Linked DNA regions of Anolis sagrei. The protein of the gene in region 1 interacts with the protein of each later gene in a pairwise test. Links are inferred from orthologs where the notes say so. Each region holds a gene or a part of one and is shown on either strand. Other genes may lie near its edges.

What was found.
Region 2: the proteins of ARHGEF2 (region 1) and RPP25L interact in binary tests that used the Homo sapiens proteins (3 or more experiments, as listed by UniProt). The two-hybrid records come from large-scale screens. The link is inferred for Anolis sagrei from reciprocal best matches to the Homo sapiens genes ARHGEF2 and RPP25L.

Annotation. Positions count from the first base shown.
Region 1 is NC_090032.1:20,909,399-20,919,550, forward strand, and holds the start of ARHGEF2 (rho guanine nucleotide exchange factor 2), read right to left. Parts: upstream 3,824-10,152; 5' UTR 3,757-3,823; coding exon 3,614-3,756; intron 1-3,613. UniProt on the Homo sapiens protein: Activates Rho-GTPases by promoting the exchange of GDP for GTP.
Region 2 is NC_090022.1:300,712,978-300,723,334, reverse strand, and holds the start of RPP25L (ribonuclease P protein subunit p25-like protein), read right to left. Parts: upstream 3,983-10,357; 5' UTR 3,901-3,982; intron 1,439-3,900; 5' UTR 1,431-1,438; coding exon 873-1,430; 3' UTR 1-872. UniProt on the Homo sapiens protein: May be a component of ribonuclease P or MRP.

The DNA of each region.
Region 1 (10,152 bases):
TAATAGGCAGTAAGAGCACCTAAAGCTTTGGAGAGCTTCTGTTGAACCATTTCAAAGCTCCCTGTTTGGGCAGTGATGGCACTGTCGTCAGCATATATGAAAACTCTCTGTCCCTTCTGGCAGTGGTTGGTCATTTGTGTCAATGTTAAACACGAGGAACTGTATTAAGAGGCATTAGGAAAATTGAGAAACACTGACCTAAAGCTTTGGAGAGCTTCTGTTCAGCCATTTCAAAGCTCCCTGCTTGAGCAGTGATGGCGGCGTCATCAGCATAGATGAAAACTCTCTATCCCTTCTGGCAGTGGCTGGTCATTTGTGTACATGTTAAACACGAGGAATGGTATTAAGAGGCATTGGGAAGGTTGAGAAACATTGACTAAAAGCTTCGGAGAGCTTCTCTTCAGCCATTTCAAAACTCCCTGTTTGAGCGGTGATGACACCGTCATCTGCATATATGGAACTCTCTGTCCCTTCTGGCAGTGGCTGGTCATTTGTGTAAACGTTAAACATGAGGAACTGTATTAAGAGCCATTAGGAAGGTTGAGAAACACTGATCTAAAGCTTTGGAGAGCTTCTGTTGAACCATTACAAAGGTCTCTGCTTGAGCGTTGATGGCACTGTCATCAGCATAGATGAAACTCTGTGTGTCTTCTGGCAGTGGCTGGTCATTTGTGTCAATGTTAAACATGAGGAACTGTATTAAGAGGCATTAGGAAGATTGAGAAACACTGACCTAAAGCTTTGGGGAGCTTCTGTTCAGCCATTACAAAGCTCTCAGCTTGGGTGGTGATGGCAAGATCGTCAGCATATATTAAACTCTCTGTCCCTTCTGGCAGTGGCTGGTCATTTGTGTACATGTTAAACACGAGGAACGGTATTAAGAGGCATTGGAAAGGTTGAGAAACATTGACTAAAAGCTTCGGAGAGCTTCTCTTCAGCCATTACAAAGCTCTCTGCTTGAGCGGTGATGGCGGCGTCATCAGCATAGATGAAAACTCTCTGTCCCTTCTGGCAGTGGCTGGTCATTTGTGTAGATCATAAACGTTGATGGAGCAAGCACGCTCCCCTAAAGCAGGCAGTTCTTCTGTTTTCGCCATCTGCGATGGAACTCAACGATGGATGGAACTCAACAAAAAAGCTCCTGTTTTGTAGCAGATTTCCTATGATTCCCTTTGTGATACTATAAGTTTTTCTCAGGAGGAGGCAATGATTTATAGTATCACAAGTAGCTGGCAAGTCTATGAAGACAGCGCCTGTCATTGTATTTAATTATAAATATATATTGTATCTAATGCAGCCTGTACATAATTGCAATTTCTTAAAAAATCTATATAATTCTATGGATACAGAAGGATAACTGTATCCACTACGCTGTTTTATATGTATTTGTTGTCGCTCTAATAGAGAGAAGCTCTATTAGAGCGCTACACCGCTGGAGAAATTATACAGTTTAGCTGACTCCAGGAGGTTCCGGGTTTGAGCCTGCCACTTTTGGACTCTTGCTTGCTGAGGTGCAAGCAAGAGTCCAAAAGCGGCAGCCTGAAACTCGGAAGCTCAATCAGTCGCTGAGACCAGATGAGAGACTCCCTCCTGGGCACATTGAAGACGAGGTGACTTGGAAGGCGCTGAATAGACTGCGCTCTGGGAGAGGATGGACCGTGGATGATGGGATTTGTAGTACCTTCACCCGGTTCACTTCCCACAGAACACGGTGGCCCCCACAAATCACAGGTTGGCACACAGAGCCCCCATGACCCACTCAACATCTCGGTGCAGTCTGGAGAAGGATGGAACATGGACGATGGGACTTGCAGTTCCTTCACTCACTTCCTGAGACCGCTGCGACCCTCACCAATGACGGACCAAGACCAAACTTGGCACACAGACCCCTCACGACCAACTCTACATCCTGGTGTGGTTTGGAGGACAATGGAACATGGATGATGGGACTTGCAGTTCCTTCACTCACTTCCTGCGACCACTGCGACCCTCACTAATGACGGACCAAGACCAAACTTGGCACACAGGACCCTCCATGACCAACTGTACATCATGGTGCGGTTTCAAGGACAATGGAACATGGATGATGGGACTTCCAGTTCCATCACTCACTTCCTGCGACCACTGCGACTCTCACCAATGACGGACCAAGACCAAACTTGGCACACAGACCTCTCATGTCCAACTCTACATCCAGGTGTGGTTTGGAGGACGATCGAACATGGACGATGGGACTTGCAGTACCTTCACTCACTTCCTGCGACCGCTGTGACCCTCAGCAATGACTGACCAAGACCAAACTTGGCACACAGACCCCCCCATGTCCAACTCTACATCCAGATGTGGTTTGAAGGACGATGGAACATGGATGATGGGACTTGCAGTTCCTTCACTCACTTCCTGCGACCACTGCGACCCTCACCAATGACCGATAAAGACCAAACTTGGCACACAGAGGCCCATGAACTGCAACCCTAATCCAATGACCGATAAAGACCAAACTTGGCACACAGACCCCTCCATGACCAACTCTACATCCTGGTGCGGTTTGGAGAACGATGGAACATGGACGATGGGACTTGCAGTACCTTCATTCACTTTCTGAGACCACTGCGACCCTCACGAATGACTGACCAAGACCAAACTTGGCACACAGACCCCCCCCCCATGTCCAACTCTACATCCAGATGTGGTTTGGAGGATGATAGAACATGGACGACGGGACTTGCAGTACTTTCACTCACTTCCTGCGATCGCTGCGACCCTCACCAATGACGGACCAAGACCAAACTTGGCACACAGACCCCTCATGTCCAACTCTACATCCAGATGTGGCTTGGAGGACGATGGACTATGGACGATGGGACTTACAGTACCTTCACTCACTTCCTGCGACCACTGCGACCCTCACCAATGACTGACCAAGACCAAACTTGGCACACAGACCCCTCATGTCCAACTCTACATCCAGAGGTGGTTTGAAGGACGATGGAACATGGACGATGGGACTTGCAGTACCTTCACTCACTTCCTGAGACTGCTGCAACCCTCACCAATGACTGATCAAGAACAGACCCCTCCATGACCAACTCTACATCCTGGTGTGTTTTGGAGAATGATGGAACATGGACGATGGGACTTGCAGTACCTTCACTCACTTCCTGCGACCGCTGTGACCCTCAGCAATGACTGACCAAGACCAAACTTGGCACACAGAGCCCCCATGACCAACTCTACATCCTGGTGCGGTTTGGAGAACGATGGAACATGGACGATGGGACTTGCAGTTCCTTCACTCACTTACTGCGATCGCTGCAACCCTCACCAATGACTGCACTCTACACCGCTGGAGAAATTATACAGTTTAGCTGACTCCAAGAGATTCCGGGTTTGAGCCTGCCACTTTTGGACTCTTGCTTGCTGAGGTGCCCACTCAACATCTTGGTGCAGTCTGGAGAAGGATGGAACATGGACAATGGGACTTGGTCCCTTCACTCACTTCCTGAGACCACTGCGACCCTCACCAATGACAGACCAAGACCAAACTTGGCACACATGTCCAAGTCTACCTGTCCTGCCCTACCACAACCACATCCATGTTGCAATGATTTACCTTCTCTGATTGAATTCTGGGTCGTCGTCATCCTCGTCCAGCACTTTGCCCGGTTCCCAGCTGTGCCGTCGGAAAGCGTCGTAGGGGGTGGCGCAGCCCCTCAAGCGCATTGGCACCCCCAAAAACTGCACATCGTCCCCCATCTCCTCTTCTGGCTCCACGGCGCATGGCTCCACCGCAGAGAGGCTGCGCTGCTTCAGGACCAGCGGGGAGACCGGGACTCCACTCATTCCTCGCGGAGCATCCGAAGGCTGGAAAGAGAAGAAGGGGAAATCAATGGGTGCACTAGGTCTCCCAGCACAGCTAATGCCTAGCAAGGTTTGCTGTTTAGGGATCTCTAGTTCTGGGTTGTTGTGAGTTTTTCAGGCTGTATGGCCATGCTCCTGATGCATTCTCTCCTGACGTTTCGCCTGCATCTGTGGCTGGCATATGCAGAGCTTTCGTTGGCTGTGAAGCAAGTGGAGTGTGCATCGACCTCTGACGAAATGCATCTAGATCCTCCAGCACAAATAAATATGAATATATAAATAAAAATATAAAAATATATAAAAATAAAAAATATAAAATATATAAAAATATAAAATATAAATAAATAAATATAAAATATGGAAATATAGAAACATAGAAATGTAAATGTAAAAAAAGAAAAATAAAGAATAGAAAAATAGAATAAAAGAAAAATATAAATAATATATAAATATATAAATATATATAAATATATAAATAAAAATAGAAAAATAGAAAAATATAAATAAAATAGAAAAATAGAAAATAGAAAATATAAATATAAAAAAATTAAAAAAAAGAAATATATAAATAAAAATAGAAAATAGAAAATATAAATATAAAAAAATTAAAAAAAAGAAATATATAAATAAAAATAGAAAATAGAAAAATATAAATAAATATATAAAAATATTATATATCTAAACTAAAAATATATAAATATAAAAAATAAAAATAAAAATATAAAAATAGGAAAATATAATTAAAATATAAAAATATAAATATATAAATAAAAATAGAAAAATAGAAATAAATATATAAAAATATAATATATAAATAAATATATTTATAAAATACCTATATATACATATATATATACATATACATATACATATATATATATATATATATATATAGAAAAATAGAAAAATAGAAATAAATATATAAAATGTATAATACAAATAAATATATATATAAAAATATAAAAAATATAACAATAAAAACAGAAAAAATAGAATAATATAATAAAAAATAAATATATATAAATATATATAAATAAAAATATGAAAATAGAAAAATATAAATAAATGTATAAAATATAATATATATAATAGAAAAATATAAATAGAAAAAATATAAATAGAAAATAGAAAAATAGAAAAACAGAAAAAACAGAAAAAATTATAAATAAAATTTTAAAATATAAATAAAAATATTTATATATAAATATATAAATAAATATAAAAATATAAATATATAAATAAATATATATATAAATAAAAATATAAAAATACAAAAATATAAAAGTTATATATATATATATATAAATAGAAAATAGAAAAATAGAAAAAACAGAAAAAATAGAAAAAATTATAAATAAAATTTTAAAATATGAATAAAAATATTTATATATGAATATATAAATAAAATAAAAATATAAAAATATAAAATATAAATAAATATATATAAAAATAAAAATATAAAAATACAAAAAATATAAAAATAATATATATATAAATATAAAAAGAAAAATAGAAAAATAGAAAAAATAGAAAAAATTATAAATAAAATTTAAAAATATAAATAAATGTATTTATATATAAATATATAAATAAAAATATAAAAATACAAAAAATATAAAAATTATATATATATATATATATATATATATATATATATATAAACAAAAATATAAATATATACAAAACAATAAACAATAAATAAATAAATATAAATATATATAAAAATAAACATAAATATCACCACACATATCACTATTAAAATTTCTGCCCCTCGGGCAACCGAGGTTGTCCTAACAACATAACACTAAACAACTCCAAGTCCATAGGGTTTGGAATAAATCTGGAGTGAGACCCATTCAAATCCCGGTCTCCTTGATTCCGGGTCCAATCCTTGCCTTGCCCAGCTTGGTTCACCTGCTCTTCGCTCTCGTCTCTTCTGCAAGCCTTCCTTGCTTCTCTTTCCAAAAGATAGGAAAGGGAAGCGCTGGCGTGACTTTGCTCCTATCCTGTTTGGGTTTTCCACCACTCACTCCTCCCAATGTTCCCTTTGGTGCTTTCCTCCTTTCTCTCCGCTTATCTTTTGCAGAATCAGCACAGCCAACTTTCCAAAGGGAGAGAAGAACCAATGGAGCCCGGCCAGGCAGACAGGATACTCACTGGGAATATGCTCATAATAAAGCAGCTCCACTGTGCTCTCTTTGATTGTAGGTGAACTATAAATCCCAGCAACTACAACTCCCAAATGTCAAGGTCTATTTCCCCCAAACTCCACCAGTGTTCACATTTGGGCATATTGAGTATTCATGCCAAGTTTGGTCCAGATCCATCATTGTTTGAGTCCACAGTGCTCTCTGGATGTAGGTGAACTACAACTCCCAAACTCAAGGTCAATGCCCACCAAACCCTCCCAGTATTTTCTGTTCGTCGTGGGAATTCTGTGTGCCAAGTTTGGTTCAATTCCATCGTTGGTGGAGTTCAGAATGCTCCTTGATTGTAGGTAAACTAGAAATCCCAGCAACTACAACTCCCAAATGACAAGGTCTATTTTCTCCAAACTCCACCAGTGTTCACATTTGGGAATATTGAGTGTCCATGCCAAGTTTGGTCCAGATCCATCATTGTTTGAGTCCACAGTGCTCTCTGGATGTAAGTGAACTACAACTCCAAAACTCAAGGTCAATGCCCATCAAACCCATCTAGTGTTTCCTCTTGGTCATAGGAGTTCTGTCTGCCAAGTTTGGTTCAATTCCATTATCAGTGGAGTTCAGAATGCTCTTTGATTGTAGGTGAACTATAAATCCCAGCAAGTACAACTCCCAAATGTCAAGGTCTATTTTCTCCAAACTCCACCAGTGTTCACATTTGGGCATATTGAGTGTCCGAGCCATGTTTGGTCCAGATCCGTCACTGTTTGAGTCTCTGGATGTAGGTGAACTACAACTCCCAAACCCAAGGTCAATGCCTACCAAACTCTCCCAGTATTGTCTGCTGGTGATGAGAGTTTTGTGTGCCAAGTTTGGTTCAATTCCATTGTTGGTGGAGTTCAGAATGCTCTTTGATTCTAGGTGAACTATAAATCCCAGCAACTACAACTCCCAAATGTCAAGGTCTAATTGCCCCAAACTCCACCAGTGTTCACATTTGGGCATATTGAGTATCCTTGCCAAGTCTGGTCCAGATCCATCATTGTTTGAGTCCACAGTGTTCTCTGGATGTAGGTGAACTACAACTCCCAAACTCAAGGTCTCGTAGCCCCAAACTCCACCACATTTGGGCATATTGAGTATCCGTGCCAAGAATGAAAATACATCCTGCATATCTGATATTTACATGATGATTCAGAACAGGAGCAAAATGACAGGAGTTTTTTGGGGGTGAACTTGGCATAATGGGAGTTGTAGTTCACCCACAAACCCTTATGTACTTGGTACAATTAATATACTAACTTTTTTTTTCAAATAGCCTGGGCAACTCCGGGTAACCAAAGTAGTAAACAAATAGAGTGACCTTATAAAACTACAACTCTCCTGACCTTATAAAACTACAACTCTCAGGATTGATTCAAAAATAGAGCGAGAGAGAGAGAGGAAACAATCTGGGATGAGGTCAGGCTCGGAGAAGAGGAATGATCTCAGATTTGGGAGGAAACGCTTCTATGGGAACCTTGGGAAAGTGTACACAACAGCGCAAAGCCCGGTCCCACCCAGCCGAGGAAGGGAACGCGGGCAAAGGTGACCCGAACCGGCCGCCAAGCCTGGGAAATTGTAGTTTTGCAAGGTCTTCGGCCAAACGACAACTCCCAGGATGCCAGAGCATGGAACCAGTGGGGTCAAATCCAGCAAAAGCAATAGAAAATAGCAATAAAGATGAATGATAACAACATTTCTCCCCGTTTCCAAGATTTCAATGCCCGTACTTGCCAAACTACAACTCCCAGGATCCCAAAGCATCGCTTGACGTGCCATGGCTCAATGCTTGGAGACCGTCCTCACCAAACTACAACTCCCAGGATCCCAAAGCATTGAGCTGTGGCACGTCAAGTGATGCTTTGGGATCCTGGGAGTTGTAGTTTGGCAAGTACGGTCTCAAAGGCTGTACTTGCCTGTACTTGTTAAACTACAACTCCCAGGATCCCAAAGCATCACTTGATGTGCCACGGCTCAATGCTTTGAGACCGTACTCACCAAACTACAACTCCCAGGATCCCAAAGCATCGCTTGATGATACTTTGAGACTATACTTGCCAAACTGCAAATCCCAGGATCCCAAAGCATCACTTGACAGGCCATGGCTCAATGCTTTGAGACCGTACTCGCCAAACTACAATTCCCAGGATCCCAAAGCATCGCTTGGCGTGCCACTGCTCAATGCTTTGAGACCGTACTTGCCAAACTATAACTCCCAGGATCCCAAAGCATCGCTTGATGATGTTTTGAGACCGTACTCGCCAAACTACAATTCCCAGGATCCCAAAGCATTGAGCCGTGGCACATCAAGCAATACTTTGCGATCCTAGGAGTTGTTGCTTGTACTTGCCAAACTGCAACTCCCAGGATTCCAAAGCATCGCTTGACATGCCACGGCTCAATGCTTTGAGACCGTACTCACCAAATTACAACTCCCAGGATCCCAAAGAATTGCTTGACATGCTAGGGGTCAATGCTTTGAGACTGTACTCGCCACACTACAACTCCCAGGATCCCAAAGCATCGCTTGATGGTGCTTTGAGACCGTACTCGCCAAACTGCAACTCCCAGGATCCCAAAGCATCACTTGACAGGCCACGGCTCAATGCTTTGAGGCCATGCTCGCCAAACTACAACTCCCAGGATCCCAAAGCATCACTTGACGTGCCACGGCTCAATGCTTTGGGATCTTGGGAGTTGTAGTTTGGCAAGTACGGTCTCCAAGCATTGAGCCATGGCACGTCAAGCGATGCTTTGGGATCCTGGGAGTTGTAGTTTGGCAAGTATGGGCATTGACAGGCCATGGTTCAATGCTTTGAGACCATACTCACCAAACTACAACTCCCAGGATCCCAAAGCATCACTTGATATGCCACGGCTCAATGCCTTGAGACTGTACTCACCAAACTGCAACTGCCAGGATCCCAAAGCATCGCTTGATATGCCATGGCTCAATGCTTTGAGACTGTACTCACCAAACTACAACTCCCAGGATCCCAAAGCATCACTTGACGTGCCACGGCTCAATGCTTTGGGATCTTGGGAGTTGTAGTTTGGCGAGTACGGTCTCCAAGCATTGAGCCGTGGCACGTCAAGCGATGCTTTGGGATCCTGGGAGTTGTAGTTTGGCAAAGTACGGGCATTGACGGGCCATGGTTCAATGCTTTGAGACCGTACTCGCCAAACTACAACTCCCAGGATCCCAAAGCATCACTTGATGTGCCACGGCTCATTGCTTTGAGACTGTACTCACCAAACTACAACTCCTAGGATCCCAAAGCATCACTTGATATGCCACGGCTCAATGCTTTGAGACCGTACTTTCCAAACTACAACTCCCAGGATCCCAAAGCATCACTTGACAGGCAATGGTTCAATGCTTTGAGACCGTACTCGCCAAACTACAACTCCCAAGATCCCAAAGCATTGCTTGATGATGCTTTGAAACTGTACTCACCAGACTACAACTCCCAGGATTCCAAAGCATCACTTGACAGGCAATGGTTCAATGCTTTGAGACTGTACTCACCAAACTACAACTCCCAGGATCCCAAAGCACCACTTGACAGGCTATGGCTCAATGCTTTGAGACCGCACTTGCCAAACTACAACTCCCAGGATCCCAAAGCATCACTTGATGTGCCACGGCTCATTGCTTTGAGACTGTACTCACCAAACTACAACTCCCAGGATCCCAAAGCATCACTTGACGTGCCACTGCTCAATGCTTTGAGACTGTACCCGCCAAACTACAACTCTCAGGATCCCAACCACTTGACAGGCTATGGCTCAATGCTTTAAGACTGTATGTGCCAAACTACAACTCCCAGGACCCCAAAGCACCATTTGACAGGCTATGGCTCAATGTTTTGAGACCGTACTTGCCAAACTACAACTCCCAGGATCCTAAAACATTGCACCAAGGTAGTACAAATGTTGCCAAGCTTCGACACACCTCCCGTCTTGCAAATAAGGAAAGCAAAAAGTTAAAAAAGGGGGAGTCATAAAACTCTCGCTTGCGAAAGGAATGTAAATACACTTGAAATCCCAGCCCTTTGGTGGAAGGAAAAGGAATGCGAGAGATACACAAAGCGGGATCGAGGAG
Region 2 (10,357 bases), on another chromosome or scaffold:
TATTTATATAGATTTCAAATCCCACAATCAGTAGTTCTTACAAGATTCTGAGATAGTTAAGAGTCTTTTTAACTTATGAAAAGACAGATCCTTGGCACAATCACATAAGTAAAACCCAGCAAAACTGACAAGCACCTTCCTATCTTTATGCTAAATCAAGATTTGATTCTCCTTTCTTGAATGACCAGGAAGGTTTAAGTTTCTTATTTCAAGTACTGAGCTTCCCAGAAGCTGTAAGGAGTTAGCAAAAGTTTCATAGTAACAGCAAAACAATTCATGATTTGGGAGTGGGTGTCCAGTAAGTTGTCCCATAATATGGGAATCTGACCAAAATTGCAAAGTGCAAGACTCTTGCAACGGCAAGAAAACAACCAGATAACAGGAGGGGGAAAACTGACTCCATCAGCCATCCTTGTACGAGAGAGGGACATCTTCCCACTGAGGAATATCTTGCATTTCCTTTCCACGACTATTCCAAGTATCCCTTTCCTGAACAGACTTTATGTAATACAAAGAAGGCTTCCCCCATAAGGTAAAAACCCAAAGCTAGGAGGCTTTCCACTTCAATCCATCCAATACAACTTAGTGTTTACATTCAGACAGACCCTTCTATCCAATATATCTTCCATCTCTCACTGCTTCTAAACGTAAACTGAAAACTCTCTGTAAGGGAAAGGCTCAAAGCTAGAACACCTTCATGTTCAATCCATCCAATATGACTTGGTATTTGCGTTCAAACAGACACACCTGCCCTTTTCCCCCCACTCCCTCGATGTAACTTCCCACTCTCACTGTTTCCAACATTAAGGTGAAAGCTATCTGGCTTTTCTTGGTTCTGGAGACAATTCCTGGCACTCGGAAGCTCAGCTTCCTCAAGGCTTCTTGTAGGAGTCCTCCCGTCCGAGGGAGCGAGGATGCTTCCCAGTCCGGCCAGCCCCTCTCCCTCCTCCTCCCTGCTTCCTCTTGGCCTGGCCTTGAGATTCCGACTTGAGCGTCTCCAACCAGAAGGCATCGAAGGACCCCGGGGCTTGATACCCCGGCGCTTGAGTGTCCAGGGGGTCTTTGCTTAGCAGGACACAAATGGCAGGGATGTTCCGCTTCACCGTCAAAGGGTCGAGGCCAACCTCCGGAACGATGGGTTCCCAAATCTCCTCTATTTGCTTGAAGAACACTTTGGTGATCTGGTGGAGGTGCTTCATCCTCCGCTTCATGATCTCCACGCAGGTGATCGTCTTGCTAATCGCTTTGCCCACCCCGCTGAAGAGGACCTGCCTCATGGCCTCGGACTCCATCTTGCCGATGGCGTAACCCATCAGGTTCCGGATTTTGCTGCCATCCTTCACTTTCATCTCAATGATATCAGGGGGCAAGTTGGCGAAAGGAAGAGGAGAAGGCTTCTCCACCGTTTTGGATTTCTGATAGTTCTCCATGATCAACACTTGATATCAAGCAAAGAGAAGAAAAAGAAAACTTAAACATCTAATCAGAATGTTAGTGTCTAATGCTAGGACAAGCAATATGAATTTTGCATATATACATATTATTGTTGTTGTTGTTTATATATACCTCCCTTTATCTCTACCAAAGGAGACTCAAAGCGGCTTACATTAAAAGTATGAACACATAATTTAAAATATACAAATATTAAAACAGAATTAAACGTAACGGTACTAACAAAATTGCAGTTAAAATCCATTAAAACATATTTAAAGCTAAAAACCACAGCACCTCCTGACTTTCCACAAAGGAAAGAAAAAGCATAATAAATAAACATAATCATTGTCATAAACATAATAAACAATATATAAATATATATACACACAGAGATATTTATTTATTTGACTTGTATACCGCTACTCCCAATTTGGCTCGGAGCGGTTTACAGCAGTAGATTAAAACAATACAATTAACTTTAAAATACAATAAAAACAAGAACAGACATAGTCCCGAGTCATTCACATATACACACATACAATGTTTATTATGTTTTATGATGTTTCACACACACACACACACACACACACACATATGAAACATAATAAATCATAATAAAACATAATAAACTATATATATATATATATAGGTTTGGAACCTCCTTGGTAGGAAAAATAGTAATTAATAAACTGGCTTGGAATTTCCTTTATGGAAAGAAAAAGCATAATAAATAAACATAATCATTGTTATAAACATTACAATATATATATATATACACACACACACACACACAATGTTTATTATGTTTTATGATGTTTCACACACACACACACACATATATGAAACATCATAAAACATAATAAATCATCATAATAAAACATAATAAACAATATATATATATATATATATATATAGTGTTTATTATAGATAGATAGATAGATAGATAGATAGATAGATAGATAGAGGTTTGGACCCTCCTTTGTGGGAAAAATAATAATAAATAAACTGGCTTGGAATTTCCTTTGTGGAAAGAAAAAGCATAATAAACAAACATCATCATCGTCATAAAACATAATAAACAACATATATACACACACACACATATACACAATGTTTATTATGCTTTATGATGTTTCATATATATAGGTTTGGAGCTTCCTTTGTGGAAAATAATCATAATAAATAAATATAATCATCGTCATAAAACATAATAAACAACATATAAATATATATACACACACACAATGTTTATTATGTTTTATAATGTTTCATATATATATATATATATATATATATATAGGTTTGGCGCCTCCTTTGTGGAAAAAAACATAAACATGTTATTATTAATAAATTATTATTATATATTATATAGGTTTCATAGAATCATAGAATCAAAGAGTTGGAAGAGACCTCCTGGGCCATCCAGTCCAACCCCATTCTGCCAAGAAGCAGGAATATTGCATTCAAATCACCCCTGACAGATGGCCATCCAGCCTCTGCTTAAAAGCTTCCAAAGAAGGAGCCTCCACCACACTCCGGGGCAGAGAGTTCCACTGCTGAACGGCTCTCACAGTCAGGAAGTTCTTCCTCACGTTCAGATGGAATCTCCTTTCCTGTAATTTGAAGCCATTGTTCCATTGCGTCCCAGTCTCCAGGGAAGCAGAAAGGAAGCTTGCTCCCTCCTCCTCCCTGTGGCTTCTTCTGACATATTTATACATGGCGCTGACCATATCTCCTCTCAGCCTTCTCTTCTTCAAGCTAAACATGCTCAGCTCAGCTCCTTAAGCCGCTCCTCATAGGGTTTGTTCTCCAGACCCTTGATCTGCTCCCTGTGGCTTCCTCTCACATATTTATACATGGCCCTCATCATGTCTCCTCTCATCTTTCTCTTCTTCAAGCTAAACATGCTCAGCTCCTTAAGCCGCTCCTCATAGGGCTTCTTCTCCAGACCCTTGATCTGCTCCCTGCTCCCTGTGGCTTCCTCTCACATATTTATACATGGCCCTCATCATATCTCCTCTCAGCCTTCTCTTCTTCAGGCTAAACATGCCCAACTCCTTAAGCCGCTCCTCATAGGGCTTGTTCTGCAGACCCTTGATCATTTGAGTCGCCCTCCTCTGGGCACATTCCAGCTTAGAGTCAATATCTCTCTTGGAGCCTCCTTTGTGGAAAAACGCATAATATTATTAATAATATTATATTATTATATATTATATTATATGGTGGTGGAGGCTCCTTCTTTGGAGACTTTTAAACAGAGGCTGGACGGCCATCTGTCAGGGGTGATTTGAATGCAATATTCCTGCTTCTTGGCAGAATGGGGTTGGACTATGATTCTATGATTATATATAGACTTGAAGTCTCTTCTGTGGAAAGAAAAAACATACGGTAATAATAAACATAACAGTAATAATATAACAACAAGTTCTCTCGGTATGGTGTAGGCCCCACTCCGCTCCCGCTCACCTGCTGCCTGCCTGCTTTCCTGCTCAGAGGGCGCTCAGGGAAAAATGGCGCCTCTCCTGCTTCCTACAGAGCCGGCTGCTCTTCCGCGCATGCGCGTCACAGGCGCCTCCTTATGACGCAGAGGAGAAGCCAGGAAGAGAGGTTTCCCCGCGCAGAGCGAGGAGCGAAACCCCGCCCCCGCCTTCCCATTGGACGAACCGCCAAGCAAGACCACGCCCCTCGGTTGAAGGAGTACATTGCTCAGCCGGCCTCCAGGGGGCGTGTTGGGAAATTTAATTCAAAATCCTAATTCTAAATTTCAGATGATTTCTGTTGGATTTTATAAGACACTAGCTATACCTGCCATGCCTTGCTATGGCCAACCTTCCCTCCCTCTTTCTCTCCTCCTTTCTTTCTCTCCTTCCTTTCATCCCTCTTTTTCTTTCCCTTCTTCTTTCTTCCTTCTCTAGCTGTTTCTTTCCTCGCTTCCTTTGCTCTTTGGTTCCATCCTTCTCTCTTTCCTTCCTTCCCTTCCCCTTTCTCTCTTTTATTCCTTCTCTCCTTCCTCCCCTCTTTCATTTTTTTATTTCATTCTCTCTTTCTCTCCTTCCTTCCTTCTTTCTCTTCTTCCCTCCTTCTTTCTCTCCTTCCTTCCTTCCTTCCTTCTTTCTCTCTTTTATTCCTTCTCTCCTTCCTTCCCTCTTTCACTTTTTTATTTCATTCCCTCCTTCTCTCCTTTCTTCCTTCTTTCTCTCCTTCCCTCCTTCTTTCCCTCTTTCTCTCCCTTCCTTCCTTCTCTACCTTTCTTTCTTTCCTTCTCCCCTTCCCTCCTTTCCCTCTTTTTTCTCCCTCCTTCTCTCCTTCCTTCCTTCTCTGCCCTTCTTTCTTTCCTTCTTTATCTCCTCTCTTCCTTCCCTCCTTCTCTCCTTCCTTCCTTCTCTGCCCTTCTTTCTTTCCTTCTTTATCTCCTCTCTTCCTTCTTTCCCTCCTTCTCTTCTTCCTTCCTTCTTTCCTTCCTTCTCTCCTTCTTCTTTCTCTCTCTCCTTCCTTTCTTCTCTACCCTTCCTTCTTTCCTTCCTTCTCTCCTTCCCTTTTTCTCTCCCTCCTTCCTTCTCTACCCTTCCTTCTTTCCTTCTTTATCTCCTTCCTCCCTTCTTTCCCTCCTTCTCTTCTTCCTTCCTTCTCTACCCTTCCTTCTTTCCTTCCTTCTCTCCTTCCCTCTTTCTCTCCCTCCTTCCTTCTCTACCCTTCTTTCTTTCCTTCTTTATCTCCTCCCTTTTCTCCTTCCTTCTCTCCTTCCCTTTCTCTCCCTCCCTCCCTCCTTCCTTCCCTACTCTTCCTTCTTTCCTTATCTCCTCCCTTCCTTCTTTCCCTCCTCTCCTTCCTTCCTTCTCTACCCTATCTTCTTTCCTTCCTTCTCTCCTTCCCTCTTTCTCTCCCTCCTTCCTTCTCTACCCTTCTTTCTTTCCTTCTTTATCTCCTCCCTTCTCTCCTCCCTTCTCTCCTTCCCTTTCTCTCCCTCCCTCCCTCCTTCCTTCCCTACTCTTCCTTCTTTCCTTATCTCCTCCCTTCCTTCTTTCCCTCCTCTCCTTCCTTCCTTCCCTACCCTTCCTTCTTTCCTTCCTTCTCTCCTTCCTCTCTCTCCTTCCTTCCTTCTCTACCCTTCCTTCTTTCCTTCCTTCTCTCCTTCACTTCCTCCTTTCCCTCCTTCTCTCCTTCCTTCCTTCTCTACCCTTCCTTCTTTCCCTCCTTCTCTCCTTCCTTCCTTCGCTACCCTTCCTTCTCTCCTTCCCTCTTTCTCTCCCTCCTTCTCTCCTTCATTTCTTCTCTATCCTTTTTTTCCTTCCTTACTTCTCCCCTCCCCTCCTTCTTTCTCTCCTTCCTTCCTTCTCTACTCTTCCTTCTTTCCTTCCTTCTCTCCTTCCCTTTTTCTTTCCCTCATTCCTTCTCTACCCTTCTTTCTTTCCTTCGTTGTCTCCTCCCCTCCTCCTTTCCTTCCGTCTCTCCCTTCTGCTCTCCTCCTTTCCTCCTTTCTGTGTATGTGTTTTGTGTGTGTATATGCATATATGTGTGTTTGTGTGTGTGTATATATGGTTTTGTGTGTGCGTTATATTTTTTGTTTTTGTTTTTTGGCTTTTAAAGTCCCTTCTGCTGTGTTTTTCAGTGTTTTTATGAGTGAAGGACATAAACTGGGTTGTTAGGTGTCTTGTGTCCAAATTTGGCAATTCGTCCAGTGATTTTTGAGTTATGTTAATCCCACAAACGAACATTACATTTTTATTTATATAGAATATATTATTTATATTACATCTCTTAGTGCTGTGTTAATTATTAATGTAAAACAAACGAGTAATTACAAATTATTATGATTCAAATAGATTTTATAATTATACTACTTATAATTGTTTATTTTACATTATTTCCATTAGATTTTATCATGTATTATATTATATAATGGAACGGTACCGTATTGTTTATATTTATATCACATCTTTTCTGTTTATATTATTTCTTTTGCAATTATATTAAGTTTTGAGGCTTTTCTTGTGCATTTTTTCCTTATGCATTCAGACTCATTACTTCTTTTAGATTTTATAACTAGATGAATTATAATTAAGTGTTTATTTTATATTATTTCAACTATATTTTATAATGCACTAGCCGTCCCCTGCCACGCGTTTCTGTGTCCCACATGAGGGTTCTGTGTGGGAGGTTTGGCCCAATTCTATCGTTGGTGGTGTTCAGAATGCTCTGTGATTGTAGGTGAACTATAAATCCCAGCAACTACGACTCCCAAATGTCAAGATTCTATTTTCCTCAAACTCCACCAGTGTTCACATTTCGGCATGTTGAGTATTCGTGTAGAGTTTGGTCCAGATCCATCATTGCTTGAGTTTACAGTGATCTCTGGATGTAGGTGAACTACAACTCCAAAACCAAAGGACACTGCCCACCAAACCCTTCCAGTATTTTCTGGTGGTCATGGGAGAACTGTGTCCCAAGTTTGGTTCAATTCCATCGTTGGTGATGTTCAGAATGCTCTTTGATTGTAGGTGAACTATAAATCCCAGCAACTACAACTCCCAAATGACAAAATCATGTTTTTGAGTGAAGAACATACATTGGGTTGTTAGGTGTATTGTGTCCAAATTTGGTATCAATTCGTCCATTATATTTTTATTTATTTAGATTATTTATATCTATGTTTGTTTACATTACATTATTTATTTTAGCATTATTATGTCTATATTACGTATTTGGACATTATATTAAGTCTTGGGACTTTGCTTTTGCATTTTTCCTTATGCGTTCATACTCATTTTCATCACTATGATACGTCATCTTGTTGATGGGAAGCTTCCCAACAGAGTGGAAATCATCTCTCGGACAGCTATTCAACCTCAGCCAACTGAAAGCCAAAACCAAGGTTACAACATGTGTTATAGAACTCCAGTATGCTGATGACAACGTTGTCTGTGCGCATTCAGAAGAAGACCTACAAGCCACTCTCAACACCTTCGCAGAAGCATACGAGAAGCTCGGTCTGTCATTGAACATCGAGAAAACCAATGTGCTGTTTCAACAAAAGGCACCAGCCAATTCCTCTCCAATGCCAGATATACAGGGGCTGGATTGCCATCTGTCGGGAGGGCTTTGATGGTGCTTTTCCAGCATCATCATTAATAATAGCAACAACAATAATAATAATACTTTGCTGCCTCCTGAACATGGTGAAACACTGGAAAATGTTGATCATTTCTGCTCCCTTGGCTGCCACCTCTCCACCCAAGTCAACATTGACACTGAAATACAACACCGCCTGAGCTCTGCGAGTGCAGCTATTTTCTGAATGAAGCAGAGAGTGGATTGTTGTAGGTTTTTCCAGGCTATATGGCCATGTTCTAGAGGCATTTCTCCTGACGTTTCGCCTGCATCTATGGCAAGCATCCTCAGAGGTAGTGAGGTCTGTTGGAACTAGGAAAAAGGGTTTATATATCTGTGGAATGACCAGGGTGGGGCAAAGGACTCTTGTCTGCTGGAGCTAGGTGTGAATGTTTCAACTGACCACCTTGATTAGCATTCAATTGCCTGGCAGTGCCTGGAACCATCTTTTGTTGAGAGGTGATTAGATGTCCTTGTTTGTTTCCTCCCTGTTGTTGTGCTGTTCTAATTTTAGAGGTTTTTAATACTGGTAGTCAGATTTTGTTCAGAGAGTGTTCTGAAGCAGAGAGTGTTTGAGGACCGGGACATCCATAGGGAGACCAAGGTGCTTCTTTATAAAGCTATTGTCCTCCCAACCCTGCTATACGCCTGCGAAACCTGGACTGTCTACAGACGTCACATGCAACTCCATCAGTGCTGCCTCCAGAAAATCCTGCAAATCTCTTGGGAAGACAAGCGGACAAATGTCAGCATGCTGGAAGAAGCAAAGATCACCAGCATTGAAGCCATGGTCCTCCGCCATCAACTCCAGTGGACCGGCCACATTGTCCAGATGCCTGACCACCGTCTCCCAAAGCAGTTGCTCTACTTCGAACTCAAGAACAGAAAACGGAATGTTGGAAAAGAGATTGAAAGATGGGCTCAAAGACAACCTTAAAAAATTTCTTCTGGCACAGACACTGAGAACTGGGAAGCCCTTGCCCTTGAGTGCTGCAGCTGGAGGTCAGCTGTGACCAGCAGTGCTGCAGAATTTGAACAGGCACGAATGGAGGGCGAAAGAGAGAAATGTACCAAGAGGAAGGCGCGTCAAGCCAACCCCGACCAGGACCGCTTTCCACCTGGAAACCAATGCCCTCACTGTGGGAGAAGATGCAGGTCAAGAATAGGGCTCCACAGTCACCTACGAACCCACCACCAGGATACTACATTTGGAGGACCATCATCCTCAGACTACAAGGGATCACCTATAATTTTATAATTATATTAGAATATTTATAATTCCAAGATTTTAAGAATCCAGCAAAAGCTTTCAAGGCCAAAAACAATAATCAAAGAAATATGGGACTTGGAAGTCTATTCCTCTCTTAGTTGTTGGGAACTCCTGAAACAATAGAAAAGTATCAACTCCAGTGGACCGGCCACATTGTCCAGATATTGTCCACATTGTCCAGACATTGTCCACATTGCCCCAATACTTGGTCAATCTGCAGCATTTTTCCTGCAGCAAAATTCAGCATTAGGCCAAATCACCAGAATTTTTATATGTATGTAATGAACCATTTTTGCCTTGGGTTGTTGTAGATTTTTCAGGCTATATGGCCATGTTCTAGAGGCATTCCCACCTGATGTTTCGCCTGCATCTATGGCAAGCATCCTCAGAGGTAGTGAGATCTTTTGGAAGTAGGAAAAATTGGGTTTATATATTTGTGGAATGACCAGGGTGGGACAAAGGACTCTTGTCTGTTGGAGCTAGGTGTGAATGTTTCAACTGACCACGTTGATTAGCATTTGTCTCCTTCTCAACCTTCTCTTCTTCAGGCTAAACATGCCCAACTCTTTAAGCCGCTCCTCATAGGGCTTGTTCTCCAGACCCTTGGTCCTTTGAGTCTCCTTCCTCTGGAAACAGTCCTAAAAGAAGACGTAACCCTTACGGTCTTTTAGGGGAATGGGCAGAACCATTGTGATGTGCCAAACCAATCTCCTTGAAGTGCGCCTTGCAATCGTTCCCTCCTTCACCAGCTTCAGTGTCAAAATTGTTGGGAACGTGGAAACATGCCCCATGATCCTTCATCACCTGGGAAGGCCAGGTAGGAGGGCGAATAGTAGGAAACCACTGTCATTTCAGGACGTGCCGAAATAGCTGCCTGGAGCCTCGTCTTTGTGATCCGGTTCAGGGATCGCATGCTCAGTCTAAGAAGGAAAGAGGTAGAAAAGAATGCAAGGGTCCAAAAGGAGATTCCAGATGAAAATTAGGAAGAACTTCTAAACAATCTAAACAATGGGGGCGCAGTAGTCCAAAAAGTAACTTTTCACAGCATTGCCCGATGCTATTGAGAGTCATGGGGTGCGTCTACAAAGTAGAAGGAATGCAGTTTTGTCAGGTAGGAAAATTCTGTATTAGATATAAATGTATGGCATGTACCTTCAGTGTGTGGAAAAATACAGTTCTAATGAACATGTGTTCACTGTCTACTGAAGGGTGAAGACCAATAGAGATGTAGTCCTAGAGGGACAACTTAGTTATTTCCTCCCTGGAGGGAGAAATGGGGGTTGGCTTTTATGTGAACTTCCTCTTTGCCATGTGCTTCCTCTTTGATAGCTTGTCATGATCTCTGTGTCTGTAATCCATCGCCATTCTCGTTCCGTGAGTCTCTTGCTAGCTTTATGAGTATCTCTGTACACTGATAACAGACCTGGAAGTAGTTGCATGTAGCAACGACTAAAGAATCAACTTCCAAAGGAGTCTGGATGAAAGCCAGAGCTCAGGTGTGCTTATTGAAGTGGTGAGATACTAAACAAGGTCAGAGGCTGTGCT